4 linked regions of the Nothobranchius furzeri genome follow. The protein of the gene in region 1 purifies or fractionates together with the protein of each later gene. This does not show direct contact. Links are inferred from orthologs where the notes say so. Each region holds a gene or a part of one and is shown in the gene's direction. Other genes may lie near its edges.

Region 1 (3,854 bases):
GGAATTCCGAATCTCCGGCTAGAAGAACATGAACGCGCTCAAAAGTTTGGCTTCACTTTACTAAATGCGGCGGGTGATTGGGTGAAGATGAAACCAGTGACAACGATCTAAGTGTGAGGCATCATCGTTTAAATCTGCTCCAGCAGCTAAATAATCTGTTTAAGATAACGTTAGCTTGATATGTTAGCTTCCATTGCCACCATTGTTATCAGCTAATGGTGCGTTCGCTTTGTCCTTGGAAATTCTAACTTCCCAGTAGGAAAAATCAAATGAAAAAGGACGGCAAAAGGAATGAAGATACACAATAAATTTAGTTCACAGTAAAGATGTTTGCTTCAGTTTAATTATCAGCTTATAAAACTATAAGGACGATGTTAAAATACAAACAGTTGAATGATATTTATTGTGATATTTATCAAATATGGTTATAAATTGAGAAAAATATATATTTAATTATAAAAGAGAATTAAAATATTAAACACTCAAAAGTATCTAAAATTGGTACTGTTAAGTACCGGTATCGATTCCTAGGTACCGGGAATTAGTACTGAATCTATTCAAATGTCAAAGGTACCCATCCCTAAATGGTGGCCACACCAGATACTGACTGGTTCTGAGTCCCCAGACCCCCAACAAAGCAAAAAACTGTGCATTCCAGGGTGGCCTTTTATTGTGGGCAGTATAAGGTACACCTGTGCACTACTCATGATGTCAGATCAGCATCTTGATGTGGCACACCTGTGAGGTGGGATGGATTATCTCGGCAAAGCAGAAGTGCTCACTATCACACATTTAGACTGATTTGTGAACAATGTTCGAGAGAAATGGTGATATTGTGTATCTGGAATGAATTTTAGATATTTAAGTCCATCTCATGAAAAATGGGAGCAGAAACAAAGGTGTTGCGTTTATATTTTTGTTGAGTGTATGTTTTAAAATGACTAATATTATAAATTGTAGGGTGAAGCTAGAAATGAACGTTTAGTTTTTCTTTTGCAGGAAAAAGAGTCTCCAGATGGGAATAACGTGGCCTGTATTCTCACTCTTCCACCTTACCAGCGCAGAGGCTACGGGAAGTTCCTCATAGCTTTCAGTAGGTCGAAGGCCTCTGCCATGTTATATACTATAGTACAAATATTACTGGTAGTTAAACATACCCATTTATATATTTTAGAAACTTTGGCTGTTTTCTTAAATCTTTATTCAGAATCTGCTTTATTTGTGATCTTATTTGATGGTTTGCTACACCATCACCTCTGACTGGTGTTCTTACCTCCAATAGTTCATTGTTGGTGCCAGTGGGTACTGCCTTGGCTCCATCTCACATACATAAACGTAAATCAGAGCTGAAATGTGATTTTGTTGAGACAAACTGAGTTTTCATATTTAATCAGCTCAATTTCTTCCTAAACGTTTGGAAAGATGTTTTCTTTTTTATGTTCATAAAACATTTTAGTTATCTTGGGCTAAATGACAGATTTCATGATTGGACTCTTCTCTGGATTATTGAGAAAATAACTGGTGGAGTAAACAGTATTGTGTGTTTTGCCGCTGTGTGTAGGTTATGAGCTCTCGAAGCTGGAGAACACCGTCGGCTCTCCTGAGAAGCCTTTGTCTGATCTGGGGAAGCTGAGCTACAGAAGTTACTGGTCCTGGGTTCTGCTGGAGATCCTGAGGGACTTCAGAGGAACGCTGTCCATCAAAGATCTCAGGTGAGCACGCAGAGAACAGCAGAAACAGTGTCGTCTGCTGTAGGGGATCACGACTGCTTTCATTCACTAACTGGGCGTCAACGATCAGAGTTCACTAATAACCAAACAACTTCAACCATTAAAATGTGTAAATAAAAAAAATTAAAAACTAGTTTGTCACGAAGTATGAAATGTGCTTTGAAGAGTCAGATAGTCGTCCGTGTTTTATCCTTAGATTGAAACGTTAATAAAAATATTTAAAAATATTAAAGATGCACCAAATCAGGCTGAGATGCATCCTTCATCACCTGCTGAATCTTCTCATGAAATCCTCACTAGAACTCACTGCTGATGTCACCAGCACTGATCCTGTTTTTCAGCCAGATGACCAGCATCACTCAGAGTGACATCATCAGTACTCTGCAGTCTCTCAACATGGTGAAATACTGGAAGGGCCAGCATGTCATCTGTGTGACGCCCAAACTGGTGGAGGAGCACCTGAAGAGCGCCCAGTACAAGAAACCACCCATCACAGGTAGGTGGAGCCCCCCTTCGCTCTGCGGAAACGCCACTTCCTGTTCTCTGTGATGCTGGGAGACACACAGCTCAGGTTACAGGTCTCTGCTGGGCAATCTTCTGAAAACAATCATTCACAAGAGATGTTGATAAATGATGAAAGCAGCTAGAGAAAAACTCTGGAAGTGCTACAGAAAGTCTGGAGGGCCGATGATCTGGACCCTTTAAGGCTCACAGGAATGTTTGGCTGCTTGGAAGGAAACTAGAGAAGGACCTGATCATGAGTTTTGTATTTTTATCTTTCATGTCCAGTTCTTGTCCCCAAGGTTTAACCAATCAGTGGACATTCATAACAAATGTCTTTTTTGCTTTATTTTCATCAGTTAAAGTATTTTATAACTTTTAAGAATTATTAATTTTCTGTACGTAATTCTTATTTAATCTCCAGGTGAACAGTTACCCTTTGGCTGTAGTTCTGTTGTAATTCCTACATCTGAGGATATGTAGGAAACACTCGGCTTAGCGAAGCCTGTTGTTTGAACTTCCTGGGGACTTTTTAAGGTGCTTGTCTCTTTTTGTTGACAGTGGACACCATGTGTTTGAAGTGGGCGCCTCCCAAGAATAAACAAGTCAAGTTGTCGAAGAAGTGAGACGAAAGCATCCCACATGCCAGCCTACCTGTTTTCACACAGACTGTATATAGTTGTTAGTAGTGTCGATATTTTCTTATAATAAACTTGTATATACACACATGAAAAAATACTTTTCTGTTTTTATTCGACTTAAATGTTGGTTCTACATATCTATAATTGGTCATTGGATTTCACTCCGGTGTTTTTAGTATAAATGATGGGTTTCGTTTACATCTGCATACAGGAAATAAAAATTATAATTTGAGAGAAATGCCTTCATGTTATGGCCACCAGCCTCTTCAGCTCCAGGAGCCAGGATCACCCAGCCTCCTGGGATCAGCCTAGACTCCGCCCTTCCTCCTCCTCTTCTCTAGGCTGCTGATGAGCTGAATCCATCCAATGGCCCACACCTGGGATAGAAGGTTGTGCCATCAACAGTCTAGGAGGCAGCAGTGCAGGGGTCCTGCTGTCCTCCAGGCGTCGTATTGGATGAATTTTAACTAAAAATTCAGATGATCCAGATGGGTCTTGTGAGGTTATTCCCTCTTATATGTCAACATAGTTGACTGATGACCTTAATGGTCTTTGTAATTGGTATTTTAAGGTTAACTTTGTTTTTTAGACACTATCAGCTTCGTGCTTTTAAACACCTTTTTGTTATGGTGAAACTTTAAATCAGTTTTAACCAGGTGCCCTAATCTTTTAATGTTAACCTTTTTGTTAAGACTTTTAAATAAGCCTTAGTTTTGTTCAGTGTTATTTTAATAGCACCCTCCACCTGTTTGCACCTTTTTTTTAAACCTTTTATGACAAACACATTTTATTTCAGAATTAAAATGTGTCATAAAAGGTGAATTCGAGTACCCGGTAGTCACACACTTGGGTGTGTATAAATTCAGTTCAAACTGCTTAAACAGGTCAGAGCAGGTAAACATCTTTACTTAAGAGAAAGTTTAAATTACCATTAAACCTTTAATAGGCTGTGTGATGTTTTCTGTTACAGAAATTAATGAAT
Region 2 (4,432 bases), on another chromosome or scaffold:
CGTGACATTTGAAAACCCAAAAGCTAACTTTAAAGCAATTGTAGAAGTGGATCGATCACTTTGGTTTCTATAATTACAGTAAGGTATTTTATCCTTACTTGCTTTGGGTTCTGTTTTCCTATTGGCCAGCAGAGGGCGCACTTACTCCACTAATTCTTTGTTAGAAGTGTTTATATTACTTTAAATAAAAGGGGATGCTCTTAAGCATCACGTATGTATTTACTTTGGAAACAAATCTATTCAGAGTGCTAATGTGCTTGAAGAATAGGATTAGTACTTTTACCAGCTATTAAAAAGCTGAATCATTTGGTTAGAGTGCAATGTCATGTGACTAGAGACTAGAGAAAAAAAATGTACATATAACATTTTTAAATATCAAAATTACTCGCTGCGATGCCCTGAAAGTCCTGTTATTTGTCGTTTTTAAGCGAGGAGCTCTGTAAGGAAATGGTCGACGGCCTGAGGATCACGTTTGACTTCACCCTACCCATGATCCTCCTCTACCCATGTGAACAAGCTCAGTTCAAAAAAGTCAGCTCTTCCAAACTCTTCCTCAGCACGAACGAAGGCTCGCCCTCCTCCAGCAAGTAAGTGTGGCCTGACGAGTGCGCCGTCCATTTGCACTATCTGGGTTGTTTATTTTTTGCCTTTCAAAGCACCCAACGAGAACGCAGCCCGAGCCCACCAGTCCACAACCCCCCCACTCCTCAGTCCACAGACAGCCAGCCGGCTCTGAGCGACACGTCCGCCACCACGCCCACTGCTGCAGCTCCCACTCCGAAGCGCCGGCGCCACCCCGATATGGACTGCATCTCCTACCAGTCTCAGTCCCTCAGACGCTCCACGAGGAACACATCAGGAGGGGATCGGCCCGCTGAGGGAAGCAGCGGAGGTCATCAGAGTGAGTTTTGTGTTCAGTCCTTGTGCAGGGTTTATATCGCTTTTGTGACAGATTTCTTTAATGATAGGTGGAGGCAGCGCTACGGCCTCACCACAGCTCAAACGCCGTTTTGTCGACATCTCTTCGCAACCAAAGTTCTTCCTCAACCTGGACAGAAGTAGGTTTACTCTTTTTATAAAAGGAAACGTTACACCGTTTAGTTTTTGTCCTAGATTTATTTAGATTATGGTTGTTTCAGTGAGAAGAACTTCAGATTTGTTGCTGATAAAGCTACAGTAGCAAATCTGGAAAACAAGCTAACTTAAAAAAAATTCATGCTTTTTAACAATGTTCTAACATAGGATAGCTATAAATATATTCTTGAGATAAAACAGTGATTCTCTAGCATTTGTCTAAAACCCTCAGCCAATAACACGGCTAGATCTGAACCCAACGATTGGTTCATTCGGTCGTCTGTCTCATCGAACCACCGCACTTACTCACTTCCCCGGGTCCTCCACTCATTACGTGCTTGCACATTTAGCAACAGAACACCGCTGTTAGAGGTTCTTGGTTCAATAATGTCAAAGAAGAAGAAACAGCCGGCTGCTACCGCTTTAACTTTTGGACAAACTACCAGAGTCCCAAAAAGAAAAACCCCATTTGACGTCATGGACAACAACTTTTGGACCTAGAAAACAGCGACTGGTGTTTAGTGCTCTCACGTTTCCTCTGGCAGTGTGGGTTCGGGTGTCAGGGGGACGTGGCATAGGGATCATGGCTAATGGGCTAACTTGTTCTGTAGATTTGCTAAGTCTCGGATGGATGGGATGGATAACCTGTAGAGCTGGGTGCAGCGGGGAAAGTTGGTGCTTTTTATCTGGGAGAAAAGAATAAGGTGGAGGATGTATTTAGTGAAAAGAAGGAGCCCCAACAATGAGCCCTGAGGTACACCGGTGGAAACAGGAAACACAAATATGAATGCAAAAAGGTCTCGGTGTTTCGTGGTAGTACTAGTACTAGCATTCGTTAAGCTAAAGGGAATGAGTGGGTGACTTGCTTGGAGAACAGAAGTTACTGGCAGTTTTCAATAATGAAAGAACCGTACCAATAATGAAAGATGAATTGGTGACTGAGTAAATGGCAGGTTGTTGGTTTAGATCAATGATCCGCAACTGGCGGCCCTTGGGCCACGCCTGGCCCGCGAGCCTTCTCTTTGTGGCCCCCAAACCCCGCGCCCACCCCCACCCCCGACGGCCGACCGGGAGGTGTAGGATAGAGCTGAGGAAAATAATAAAATAATCGATGCATGAGATGCGGGCATAAAAAATTCCGCATCATAGAACATTACCATAATCAGTTATAGAGGAATGTGGTTTTGTTATTTTAACGGCGGCATCAGCGTAGCATCCACATCTGTCAGAGCGGTGTTCTCCACATTTATCAGGTAGGAAACTTTAGTCCGCCTTTATGTGGTACTGCAGGGCTGAGCGCTGGAGTTATAACCCGAACCGAATCAGCCCGATCGGTTCTGTTGGATTTGGGCCATAAATTATGTTAATTGAGCAGGTTGTCGCGCACTCCGCTCGCTCGATCAGCGAGAGCGAGAGAGAGAGAGAGAGAGAGAGAGACGTTCCTCCAAACACGCGTTATTTTCATAAGTTCATTATTGTTTCTCCTGGAAGCGCTCAGTCAGACCGAGTGCTGTGATGTGGGGAGGTCCGGTCTTGGGGGGGGGAGCGGAGTCAGTCGGGGGCCGTCTTGCTTCTGGGTCTTTTTTGTGAGTGGCCCTCAGACCATTATAATTGAGGACCCCTGGTTTAGATAATAAATCAAATGAGTGACATCATCAAGGCACGAGTGAGGTAGGGTTGGGGGTAACATGAGGTCAGACTTACAGGCTGCTTTTGCTGCCTGCAGTAGCTACTGCATGCCACTAGATGGTGTCATTTTACTTCCCCTTTCTTGAAGCACCCCTCAGGTATTCTAGTTAAGCAGCAATAAACAGCTGTAATGTCATGAAATGGCCTGATTTTGAGATCCCACAGGTCAGATCCACAGCCAGGTCAACGTACCCCTGGCTATGACACAACCTACAAGATTTTCCCCTCACAGGAGACTGGAAGTCTGCGCGTAGTCCCTTTAATCAGAGCCTGCCTTCCTCACACCAGCTGGACTGCAGCTCTGACAGATAATAAAAGATGAACAATAACATTCTCTCCTCCAAGGTCCTTCACAGAGAAACTCTTTCAAATGAACTCCTTTATTCCCAGAAGAAAGAAGATTTTATAATTAAAGATAATCATTAAATATTGCTATTTATAATTATATGCAATGAGATGTTCATTGATCTGTGTTTAATGATAAATGCTTAGCATGTTTACTGGGTGAGGTCATCACCATTTGCACACTCATACAAAGACAAAGTAAAGTGAAGTTAACACATGACACATAGTTAACCTTTTGCCCAGATTCAGAGTCTCTAGATCGAAGAGGGTGTGTTCTGAGATTCTTGGTAACATCTCCCAAACTCGTCAGCCCCTGATTGGCTGGCCAAATCCATAACATCAATCTATTAAAACCAGTCGCTCTGGTTTTTCCCTCAGTTCGAACAGTTCGAGAGTTCTAGAGCGAGCTTCAGACCGGCCATCTTTAGCACCTCTAACCAGTAAGGATTTTGACACATCGTCTAAATCTTTAAAACCTTTTTTGCACCTGCGAAGCCGAGAAGAACAAGATAGTACCTGCAGTACAAAGCAAACGCAAACTCCTTCAGAGTTATTTTTAAGACGCTCGGCTTCATCTGTCGTTGTGACCCGGAGACATCTCAGGACTGATTTGGTTGCATCGAGGTTTCTCTACGAACCACGTGCATTGGGGTCGTCGGCTCCTTGACATCTCGGATCCGAACGGGGGTCTCCAGAACGGGTGAGGTAGCACACAGCGAGATAGCGTCTGTATGTGGTTTTGATAATAACAACTTTATAGCTTATTTGCAAACAAAATTCTTTTATGTCCAGAACTCACTGAGAAACGGAGATTCTGACTCCATTACATTATATTCACACATAACTTCCAGACACCATCCTTAGTTCGCATCCACTCACAGTAAATAATAGTTTAACCATTTTGTCAAATCTTAATTGTTTGTAAAATAAATTCGTAATTTTTATAAACCTGACTGTTTCTTGAATCAAACGAAGTGTGTACGATCCCTTAATGAATAAAGAATCCTAGAATCTTCTGACTAAAACAAATAAAGACCAGGCAAGGTGATATTCTATATTTAAATAGAGTATTAGAGCTTATTGGTCACAAGTGGTGTTAATAATATAATTAGCTCTTAAAGTAATTTACTTACTCCCAACATACTATTTAATCTAACATTACACAGCCTTGTAAATATCGTTGAAATGTAATAAAATGTAGCTTTCACTTCTTTTCATCCAGAAACTCCCATCCACAGTGGCTCCTCTTCGCCGTTGCCTTCGACTCCAAGCAAAGAGACAAGTGGTCCTTTTTACGGTCTGGAAAGCCGCAGAAACAACGAGC
Region 3 (4,432 bases), on another chromosome or scaffold:
AGCTCACCACCATCAGAGTGAATGAATAATGGATTCTCTCTAAAGCTCTTTGGCTCCTTTTTTATCATATAAGGTTATTATCGTCTCATTTAGGGCTGGGCCATTTGGACCAGAACCTGTAGCTCCACATCTTTATTCCTGTTAGGTATTTACAAGTGAACTCATTTAAATCTGAATTAACCAGCGAATTAAGTGCATCCTGGTTCTGCTGCCATCCACCATCAGTCTGAGCTGTGGGAACACTGGTGCAGTTGTCACACGTAGCTCTACGGTGCTGCTTACTACTGCTCTTATTTTCTGTCTCGTCCGTCTTCATAAACGAGTAAAGATGTCAACGAAACAAATCGGCTTCTGGGTGTTGTTTCTGAAGATTTGCGTTTCATGTTGTACATAAAGGATGATGGTCTAGAGTTCCTGCTCCCTTCCCAACCATCCATGATGTCATTTCCTCTTCCAGGTACGCTGCTAACATAGAGAAGATTGACTACGACGATGAGAAAGTACTGATCCATTATCGCCAGTGGAGCCATCGCTATGATGAGTGGTTTGACTGGACCAGTCCCTACCTGAGACCCGTAGAGAGGATCCAGCTGAGGAGGCAGGGCCTGAACGGCGACTCTTCACCTGTAAGCTCACATCTCCATCACGCTTTTGCCTGTGCTGCACAGGAAGCAAGGTGTTTGGTTCTGCAGTCCACTTAGCATGGTTCCCACACCTACCTGCTGTCACAGCCAATAACTAGTGATGCACCCATATGAAAGTTTTGGGCCGACTCCGGTATTAAGATCACTGTTGTGGCCGATAACCAATATTTGCCGATTACCGATATACTGGCATTAATGCTTCTAAAATCATCAGATTTTGTATAGAATGAAAATTATTAAAGCTGAATTTACATTAATATGTACACACACCACACACATTTATAGTTCTGAGATGATTACGATCACGGTCACGTGACTAAACAATCACACATCACCCACCTCACCCTCTGAAACAGGCAAACAAATGGAGACAAGATGGAAAAACTACCGGTTAATATCGGCCCGGTTTTATTTATCGAACCAATGCTGATAAGTTAAAAATGACTAACATCGGCTGATACCGAGATTGATGCCGATATATTGTCCATCCCTACCGATAACAAATATTTATCACATAGACATGCTTACACCACCTGCTTCTGTTAAACACCCCCACATTTAGGGCTGAACGATTGCGATTATTATTATTTTCTTCAATATTGCAATTGAGATTTAATTCACGAATATTTTCTCAAGGGGCTTTTCTCATTTTTCAACTAACAGAAGCAAAAATAATCTATGTACAGTTGTGGTCAGAAGTTTACATACACTTGTAAAAAATATAATATAATGGCTCTACTGAGTGTCCCGTTATTTCTAAAACTCTGATTTTTCTCTGATAGAGTGACTGGAACAGATACTTCTTTGTCACAAAAAAACATTCATGAAGTTTGGTTCTTTAATGTCTTTATTATGGGTTAACAGAGAAAAGTGATCACATTTGCTGGGACACAAATATACATGCAGCAGTGCTAATATTTGGTTACATGTCCCTTAGCCATTTTCACTTCAATTAGGCGCTTTTGGTAGCCATCCACAAGCTTCTGGTTGAATCTTTGACCACTCCTCTTGACAGAATTGGTGAAGTTCAGTTAAATTTGATGGCTTTCTGACATGGACTTGTTTCTTCAGCACTGTCCACATGTTTTCAATGGGGTTTAAGTCAGGACTTTGGGAAGGCCATTCTAAAACCCTTATTCTAGCCTGATTTAGCCATTCCTTTACCACTTTTGATGTGTGTTTGGGGTCATTGTCCTGTTGGAACACCCAACTGCGCCCAAGACCCAACCTTCGTACTGATGATTTTAGGTTATGTTGAAGAATGTGAAGGTAATCCTCCTTCTTCATTATCCCATTTACTCTCTGTAAAGCACCAGTTCCATTGGCAGCAAAACAGCCCCACAGCATAATATTCCCACCACCATGCTTGACTGTAGGCATGGTGTTCTTGGGGTTAAAGGCCTCACCTTTTCTCCTCCAAACATATTGCTGGGCACTGTGGCCAAAAAGCTCGATTTTCGTTTCGTCTGACCACAGAACTTTCCTCCAGAAGGTCTTATCTTTGTCCATGTGATCAGCAGCAAACTTCAGTCGAGCCTTAAGGTGCCACTTTTGGAGCAAAGGCTTCCTTCTTGCACGGCAGCCTCTCAGTCCATGGAGATGCAAAACACGTTTGACTGTGGACAATGACACCTGTGTTCCAGCAGCTTCTAATTCTTGGCAGATCTGCTTTTTGGTGATTCTTGGTTCACTCTTTACCCTCCTGACCAATTTTCTCTCAGCAGCAGGTGATAGCTTGCGTTTTCTTCCTGATCTTGGCAGTGATGAAACAGTGCCATGCACCTTATACTTACAAACAATTGTTTGCACTGTTGCTCTTGGGACCTGCAGCTGCTTTGAAATGGCCCCAAGTGACTTTCCTGACTTGTTCAAGTCAATAATTCGCTTTTTCAGATCCATGCTGAGCTCCTTTGACTTTCCCATTGTAGTGTTTGTGGGCGTTTGTATCCAATGAGCCCTATTTACCTGGCCTAAGAGAAGTCACCCGCTGTAGTCACTCATAATCACTCACAAGAAGTTAAGAGGCCATGCTATGAAGCTCAGTTCACTGACACGTTTCTAAGCCACCAAAATTGCTAGTTCATGTTGCTGTATGTATATTTGTGACCCAGCAAATGTGATCACTTTTCTCTGTTAACCCATAATAAAGACATTAAAGAACCAAACTTCATGAATGTTTTTTGTGACAAAGAAGTATCTGTTCCAATCACCCTATCAGAGAAAAATCAGAGTTTTAGAAATAACGGGACACTCAGTAGAGCCATTATATTATATTTTTTACAAGTGTATGTAAACTTCTGACCACAACTGTAACTTGTACTGAATATAAACAAGTTTATGTATCTACTTATTTATCTACAGATCATATCAACACGTTTATTCGTCTACATAAACATAAACACTCGCCAGTAAAGACCACATTTTGTATTTGAAGGTGCGATGCTTTGCAGCCAGGAGCACATCCCTTGAAGCAGCATAGTGTCCCGTTTAAGTCTTTTGTGTTTAGAGTTTTTGATGTCTTGTCCACACTGAGCTTCCGTAGTTCAGTTTCGTCCATAGCTGCTAGCCAAACCTCAGTGGAGTTAGCCTCTTACGTTTCCTAGCTTTACTAAAATATCTGTCTGTACTTATTTGATTAATGGCTGTTTTTACTTTTTATTAGACTCCAAATCTAATCATTTGGCACGTTTCTAATTCATAATTTGTAAGAATGTATTAGGCAATATTAGCATTAGTATCCCTAAGGTGTTTTCCTGGTGTATTAGCATTTTGCTAACCACTTGCTGCCAGCCAAATCGCAGTCTTTGCGATTAGAAAATCTCCTTTTGTTACATTGCAGTTGAATTGCATATGCAATTAATTGTTCAGCCCCCCCCCACCCCACCCCACCCCCCCAAAAAGCCCTCACAAACAGGTAGAGCAGGTTGTCCGGTAATCGGAAGTTTGCAGGTTAGATCCTGGCTCCGACCAGAGAGTGCTGCTGTTGTGTCCTTGGGCAAGACACTTAACCCACCTTGCCTACTGATGGTGTTCGGAGGGACCGGTGGCGTCTGTGCTCGGCAGCCTCGCCTCTGTCAGTGCGCCCCAGGGCAGCTGTTGCTACCTCGTAGCTCATCCCCACCAGCGTGTGGAAGTGTGTGTGAATGGGTGAATGACTGATCGTGTTGGGGGGGGGGTGTAGAACCCTAAGAAGGCGCTGTACAAATACAGGCCATTTACCATCAGTTTGGCTTATCAGAGCGAGGAGGTTGATGCTGATCCGTGGTGCATCCCCGTTATGGACTCCTCGCCCCTGAAACGCTGGCGGGTCGTTCCCATGATGCACTAAAGTCACGCTGTTTCCTCCAGGGCTTTCACGTAAATGACAAGGTTCTGGCCAGCTGGTCCGACTGCCGTTTCTACCCCGCTAAAGTCATTTCAGTCAATAAAGATGGTGGGTATCGTGTTAAATATTTAATGGTTTCATGAATCTCACAAAGGAAAGCTTTAGCTGGTGTCTTCTTTGGTGTCCGCTGTAGCGTCCTACACTGTAAAGTTCTACGACGGAGTCATCCAGACAGTGAAGGGAATGCACGTGAAGCCTTTCATCAAAGAGGTACGTGAAAGTCGGCGTTTCCGTCTGTGGTCCTCGTCTCGGCCGATTCTGCTCACTCTGTTCATAACTATGCTGCCCATAGAGACGTGGACGGTCTCGGTCCTCCGACCAGAACGTGGTGAAGAGGACGGCTCCGACCCGCCGAGACAGACGTCCACATGAGAACGGCGGTCCCAAAAGCAAGAGAGTCAGA
Region 4 (4,432 bases), on another chromosome or scaffold:
ATTTATGAAGGTCTTGGGGTGGGAACGGGGGTGGGGATGAGATCCCTATGAGAGAGAAGACTAGACCTTCAGTTTCTATCATACATTACTCTATGAAACTGATACTGATTCACAATATTTTTTTATTTGACAAGGTTCTTTGAAACTGTTTAATGATTATTATTGTTTTTGGGAAGTGCATTAAACTAATATAAGCATTTATTTCATGCTACACATTTATTTTCCCAGTAGTTAATTTCTTGCTGATAATTTGTCCTCATGTGGCTCTGACTGGTGTATTCTTTTTCAGAGAAAATACTAAGAGGACCTGTAGTTTTTCTCAAAATCTATAAAAACGTTTACTGAGACTGTCGTTCACCCTGCAGCAACCTCAGAGTTATAAATTCATTAATAACTTCAAATGAAACTTGAAAATTAGAATATGGTCCATAAGTCAATCTATTTCAGAAATTCAACTTGGACTGGGAGACCATCTATAGGCTCAGGAAACCTTTGCGGGTGTTCTGGATTCATTAGCTGATCAGAACGTGACACTCCTTGTTCACTTCCCTTTATGATTGATTATGCTGCCTCACTGCCACCTAGGATTGACTGATTAGTGTTTGTCGTTAGCCTCAAGGACAACCTGCTGGCTTCGTTATCACATGTAAGTCGCTTTGGACAAAAGTGTCTGCTAAATACTTAAACATAAACTTTGAGTCTAGATTATTGAACCTTTTCACAATGTTCTAATAGTCTGGGATTCTGAACGTAGGGTTTTCATCAGCTGTAAGCCATAATCATCACAATTATAACAGACAAAGGCTGAAATGGCTGGCTTTGCATGGTGGTGCAGTGGTTAGCACTGTTGCCTCGCAGCATGAAGGTTGTAGGTTCGAAACTCGGCTGCAGTCTTTCTGCGTGGAGTTGCGTGTTCTCCCCATGCATGCGTGGGTTTCCTCCGGGTACTCCGGTTTCCCCCAAAGATCACAACATGCCCTATAGGTTATAAATTTTAAGTCGCTTTGGATAAAAGCGTCTGCTAAATAAATAAACATAAACTCCTTTTTTTTTTTACCTTTTAAGTTGAATTGCTGAAGTTATCGAACTTTTGCTCTGTATTCTAATTTTTTGAGTTTCATTTGTATTTAGCTTATTTGTTAGATGTTATGATTGTAATGAGACTCTAGAAAATGTTTAAAAATGACATCTGAATATCTGGGAAATGTGGGAGTTTAGAGCTGAACATGGCAGGAACACACTTAAATCTGGTCTCCAGTCAGGTTAGCTGTTGGCTCGGGCTAGCTGTTCATCTACATCAGTTCAGAAGAATTATTTAGAACTTTTACTCAGAAAACCACTTCAGAATGTTGGAAATGTCCCTTAAACTGGGGAAACAACCAAATTGACTTATTGTCAAATGTATCTGTATGCTAACATTGTGGATTTTTTTAGGGAAATGTGATTTATTTAACTTCTTTAACATAGACTTTGATAACGAGGATGAAGTCTCAGGGATTCATCCCTCCATGGCGATGGCGTTCTCCTAATGTACTTTTTAGCAGTAACACTTCTATACCTCTACAGGGTTCGGTGGAGTTGGGTGGTGTTGCCCCCAGCGCTGCGCTCACAGGTGGGATGGAAAAGACAGAGGGTGTAAATACTCAGGTGAGTGGAGCGCCATGTCTTTCTCTTCTATTCTTGGTTGCATCTCGGCAGGAAGCTGCAGGGTTTCTGTGTGAGTTTGTCTGCATCTGGTGAATGTTGTAGCAGCTACAAATCTGACATCTTTCTGAGAAGGAAGTCACACATTCTGTATTTCAGAGCACAGCGTTTTATCTTTGAGCTGAAATGATAGATGAACATGGTAATTAATATTTAGGCCTAGTCCACACGTAGCCTGTTTTTTTTTTAAAACGAATATCCGCCCCTCCAAAAACTTGCATCCACACCACCTCGTTTAAAAAAAACTCTGTCCACACGTACCCAGATAAATACGTTGTTAAGGACATGCCAGACCTGTAGGCGGCAGTACTTCCCCCGTTCTTAACCTCGTCCTTCGTCTGTGGTCTTCCGCAGGGAGCAGTAATTCCGCTTGCAAAAACAAACAAGCAAAAAGCGCTTGGACAATTGATAAAGCGAGCGCAGCTCTGAGGGCATCCATGCTGTCGGCTAGTGTAAACACAGGTCGCACACGTGATGTCAGCATTTTTTTGTCGCGGAAAGTGACGTTGCGGACCTTAAAACTCTGGTTTTGTCTGTCCACACGCAGACACCCAAAACGGAGAAAACGCAGATCTTCACTTTGGCCGGAGTTTTTAAAAAGATTCGTTTTCGTGTGGAAAAAACTCCGTTTTCGTGTGGATGACAGGCCAAAACGTAGAAAAATATCTACGTTTTGGCAGATCCCCGGCTACGTGTGGACAGGGCCTTAGTTAAATGTTTGTTTTGGTGTGGATTGAATGTTCCTGACTCGCCTCATCATTCAAAAGGTTTGTTCTGTTAGTCAAAGGGGAAATGAAAGGAGCCTCAGGTCAGAATGATCTGGATAAAATTGGAGCTGTGTGATAACCTCAAACATGTGGATATAAATCACTTCTGTCTGAGAGTTAAAGCAGAACTGTGGGGATTCTCCTCGTGATGGTTTAAATTTGTTTTTACTTAACCCTGGTTGAATTTGATGTCATTTGTTAATGACATTTTGCTCTAAAGGCTGCTGAAAAAGAATGGGACCTATGTGCAGTAGGTTTAGTAGAACAGAAATGGGACTGAAGCCACAGAACTGCATTTGTGAGTGAGAGCTTGTGATGAAGCTAAAACTCTGCTTCTGGGTGGTGCTGAGCACATTTTGAGCATTGGGAGGACGGAGTCCTTTTTAAAAAACTTGGACTGAATAATTTACAACCTCTGGATGATTGGATTTGTTGTTTCTTTGAATACCCGGGCCTGGCTAAGTGCTGCAGGGTCAGCCCCTTGCAGTTAACATGAGGTGTAGTCTCACTGGTTTTGTCTTATCTGTCGGAGCAGGAAGGTGGTGCAGAACGGCTGGAGAACTCGAGCACCGCCCCTTTAAGCAGCACCGAGCAGGGCCCGTGGAAAGGTCACAATGGGCAGCCGGTTAACGGCGTCCTCAGCAGGTACGGCTAATGATTTACCTCCTGTCACTTTCCCAGAAGGACCACCAGATCCTACTCCTCTCTCATGGATTTGTAATTCTGAGATGCTGATGTCACGCAGAGCTTCAGTGATTAGACTCTGATTCTTTTCATCAACACAAAAGGCAAAGATCTGTTCTCACAGGCCACATGTAGACTAGTTGTGACTGAAACCAACAAATGTGAGACAAAATTAAAGACTAGAACAATCCCAGAAGCATCTTTTTAAATCAAATATTTATCAAAACACGATGAATCTTCATTGGAACCTGCTGGCTAGCTTGTTTTTACTTATAGCTTAGTGGGAGAGTAGATGTTTTAGTTTTGGTCATGAGGCCTCAAAGATGAGCACCAGCACCATATTCTTCTTTCACCTGGACCTCTGTGGGACCAGCTGGACCCAACCAGGGCAAACTACTTCCTGATCTAGACACAGACTCTGTAAATGATGACTTCTGTGTGGTTATCTAGTGTAACTTATTTTGACCTTTTTACCGTCGTCTGCCCGGAGCTACAGGAGTTTGTGTGCTGCGCAGGACTCTGCTACCATCTCAACAGATTTAAGCTCAACATTTGTAAAACTGGGTCGGATGTGTTGGTGACATCCATCTCAAACAGAAATGCGTCTGAATTTTGGTCTTGACATTTTTTTCCAGGGTGGCCGACAGCACTGATGCGAAGCTGCAGACGCCGCTGGCATACGACAGCACGTGTGTGGCTGCACGCACACGGCCGCTGATCTACTGTCGACGCCGGCGACTTGTTCAGCCCAACTTGGTGACTAACATCAACGGAAAGGTGAGCCCCGCTCCTAGCAGGCTATTCATCATGAGTCATTGAGCATGTTTGAAATGGACTTGAGTGGAAAAGATCTTTAACCAGTTTAACCCTAACGCCCCCCAATTGGGGGCCTCCACAGTTTCATGTCCCAAACATCTACAACTGTCCACATTCTCCAAACACAACTAAAACCACAATCAAACAGCCCAGATGGGAAACAAGGTCATTTTAAATTGTAATAAATTAAGATACAATGATGTTTGAACTTTATTTTAGAAGAGCATCTGACCTTCTCTGGTGTCTGCTGAAAAAAAAACCTTGAACAAATTCAGTTGAGGACCCCTGGAATAAATGAAATAATTGACTAAATTTCCTAAATGGAATTTGAACTCACAACCTCCACTCTGTCAGCACTTTCACACAGGGCAGCTCTTCCAAAATAAAGTTCAAGTATTATCTTATCTTAATGTATCAAAAACCAAAACTTGCTTTGTTTACAAACTAAACTGTTTTGATTG

What was found.
Region 2: the proteins of kat8 (region 1) and MSL complex subunit 3 purify together in Homo sapiens (affinity purification with mass spectrometry; 4 studies listed by BioGRID and IntAct, with this or other methods). This does not show direct contact. The link is inferred for Nothobranchius furzeri from reciprocal best matches to the Homo sapiens genes KAT8 and MSL3.
Region 3: the proteins of kat8 (region 1) and phf20a purify together in Homo sapiens (affinity purification with mass spectrometry; 3 studies listed by BioGRID and IntAct, counting the BioPlex papers as one, with this or other methods). This does not show direct contact. The link is inferred for Nothobranchius furzeri from reciprocal best matches to the Homo sapiens genes KAT8 and PHF20.
Region 4: the proteins of kat8 (region 1) and KAT8 regulatory NSL complex subunit 1 purify together in Homo sapiens (affinity purification with western blotting; 4 studies listed by BioGRID and IntAct, with this or other methods). This does not show direct contact. The link is inferred for Nothobranchius furzeri from reciprocal best matches to the Homo sapiens genes KAT8 and KANSL1.

Annotation. Positions count from the first base shown.
Region 1 is NC_091745.1:17,463,254-17,467,107, reverse strand, and holds the end of kat8 (histone acetyltransferase KAT8), read left to right. Parts: intron 1-999; coding exon 1,000-1,093; intron 1,094-1,561; coding exon 1,562-1,712; intron 1,713-2,071; coding exon 2,072-2,226; intron 2,227-2,792; coding exon 2,793-2,857; 3' UTR 2,858-2,969; downstream 2,970-3,854.
Region 2 is NC_091754.1:51,286,859-51,291,290, reverse strand, and holds part of MSL complex subunit 3, read left to right. Parts: intron 1-428; coding exon 429-587; intron 588-656; coding exon 657-901; intron 902-968; coding exon 969-1,058; intron 1,059-4,330; coding exon 4,331-4,432. UniProt on the Homo sapiens protein: Non-catalytic component of the MSL histone acetyltransferase complex, a multiprotein complex that mediates the majority of histone H4 acetylation at 'Lys-16' (H4K16ac), an epigenetic mark that prevents chromatin compaction.
Region 3 is NC_091743.1:40,246,472-40,250,903, forward strand, and holds part of phf20a (PHD finger protein 20), read left to right. Parts: intron 1-457; coding exon 458-626; intron 627-3,992; coding exon 3,993-4,077; intron 4,078-4,162; coding exon 4,163-4,239; intron 4,240-4,321; coding exon 4,322-4,432. UniProt on the Homo sapiens protein: Methyllysine-binding protein, component of the MOF histone acetyltransferase protein complex.
Region 4 is NC_091756.1:53,938,420-53,942,851, reverse strand, and holds part of KAT8 regulatory NSL complex subunit 1, read left to right. Parts: intron 1-1,566; coding exon 1,567-1,647; intron 1,648-3,006; coding exon 3,007-3,116; intron 3,117-3,790; coding exon 3,791-3,932; intron 3,933-4,432. UniProt on the Homo sapiens protein: Non-catalytic component of the NSL histone acetyltransferase complex, a multiprotein complex that mediates histone H4 acetylation at 'Lys-5'- and 'Lys-8' (H4K5ac and H4K8ac) at transcription start sites and promotes transcription initiation.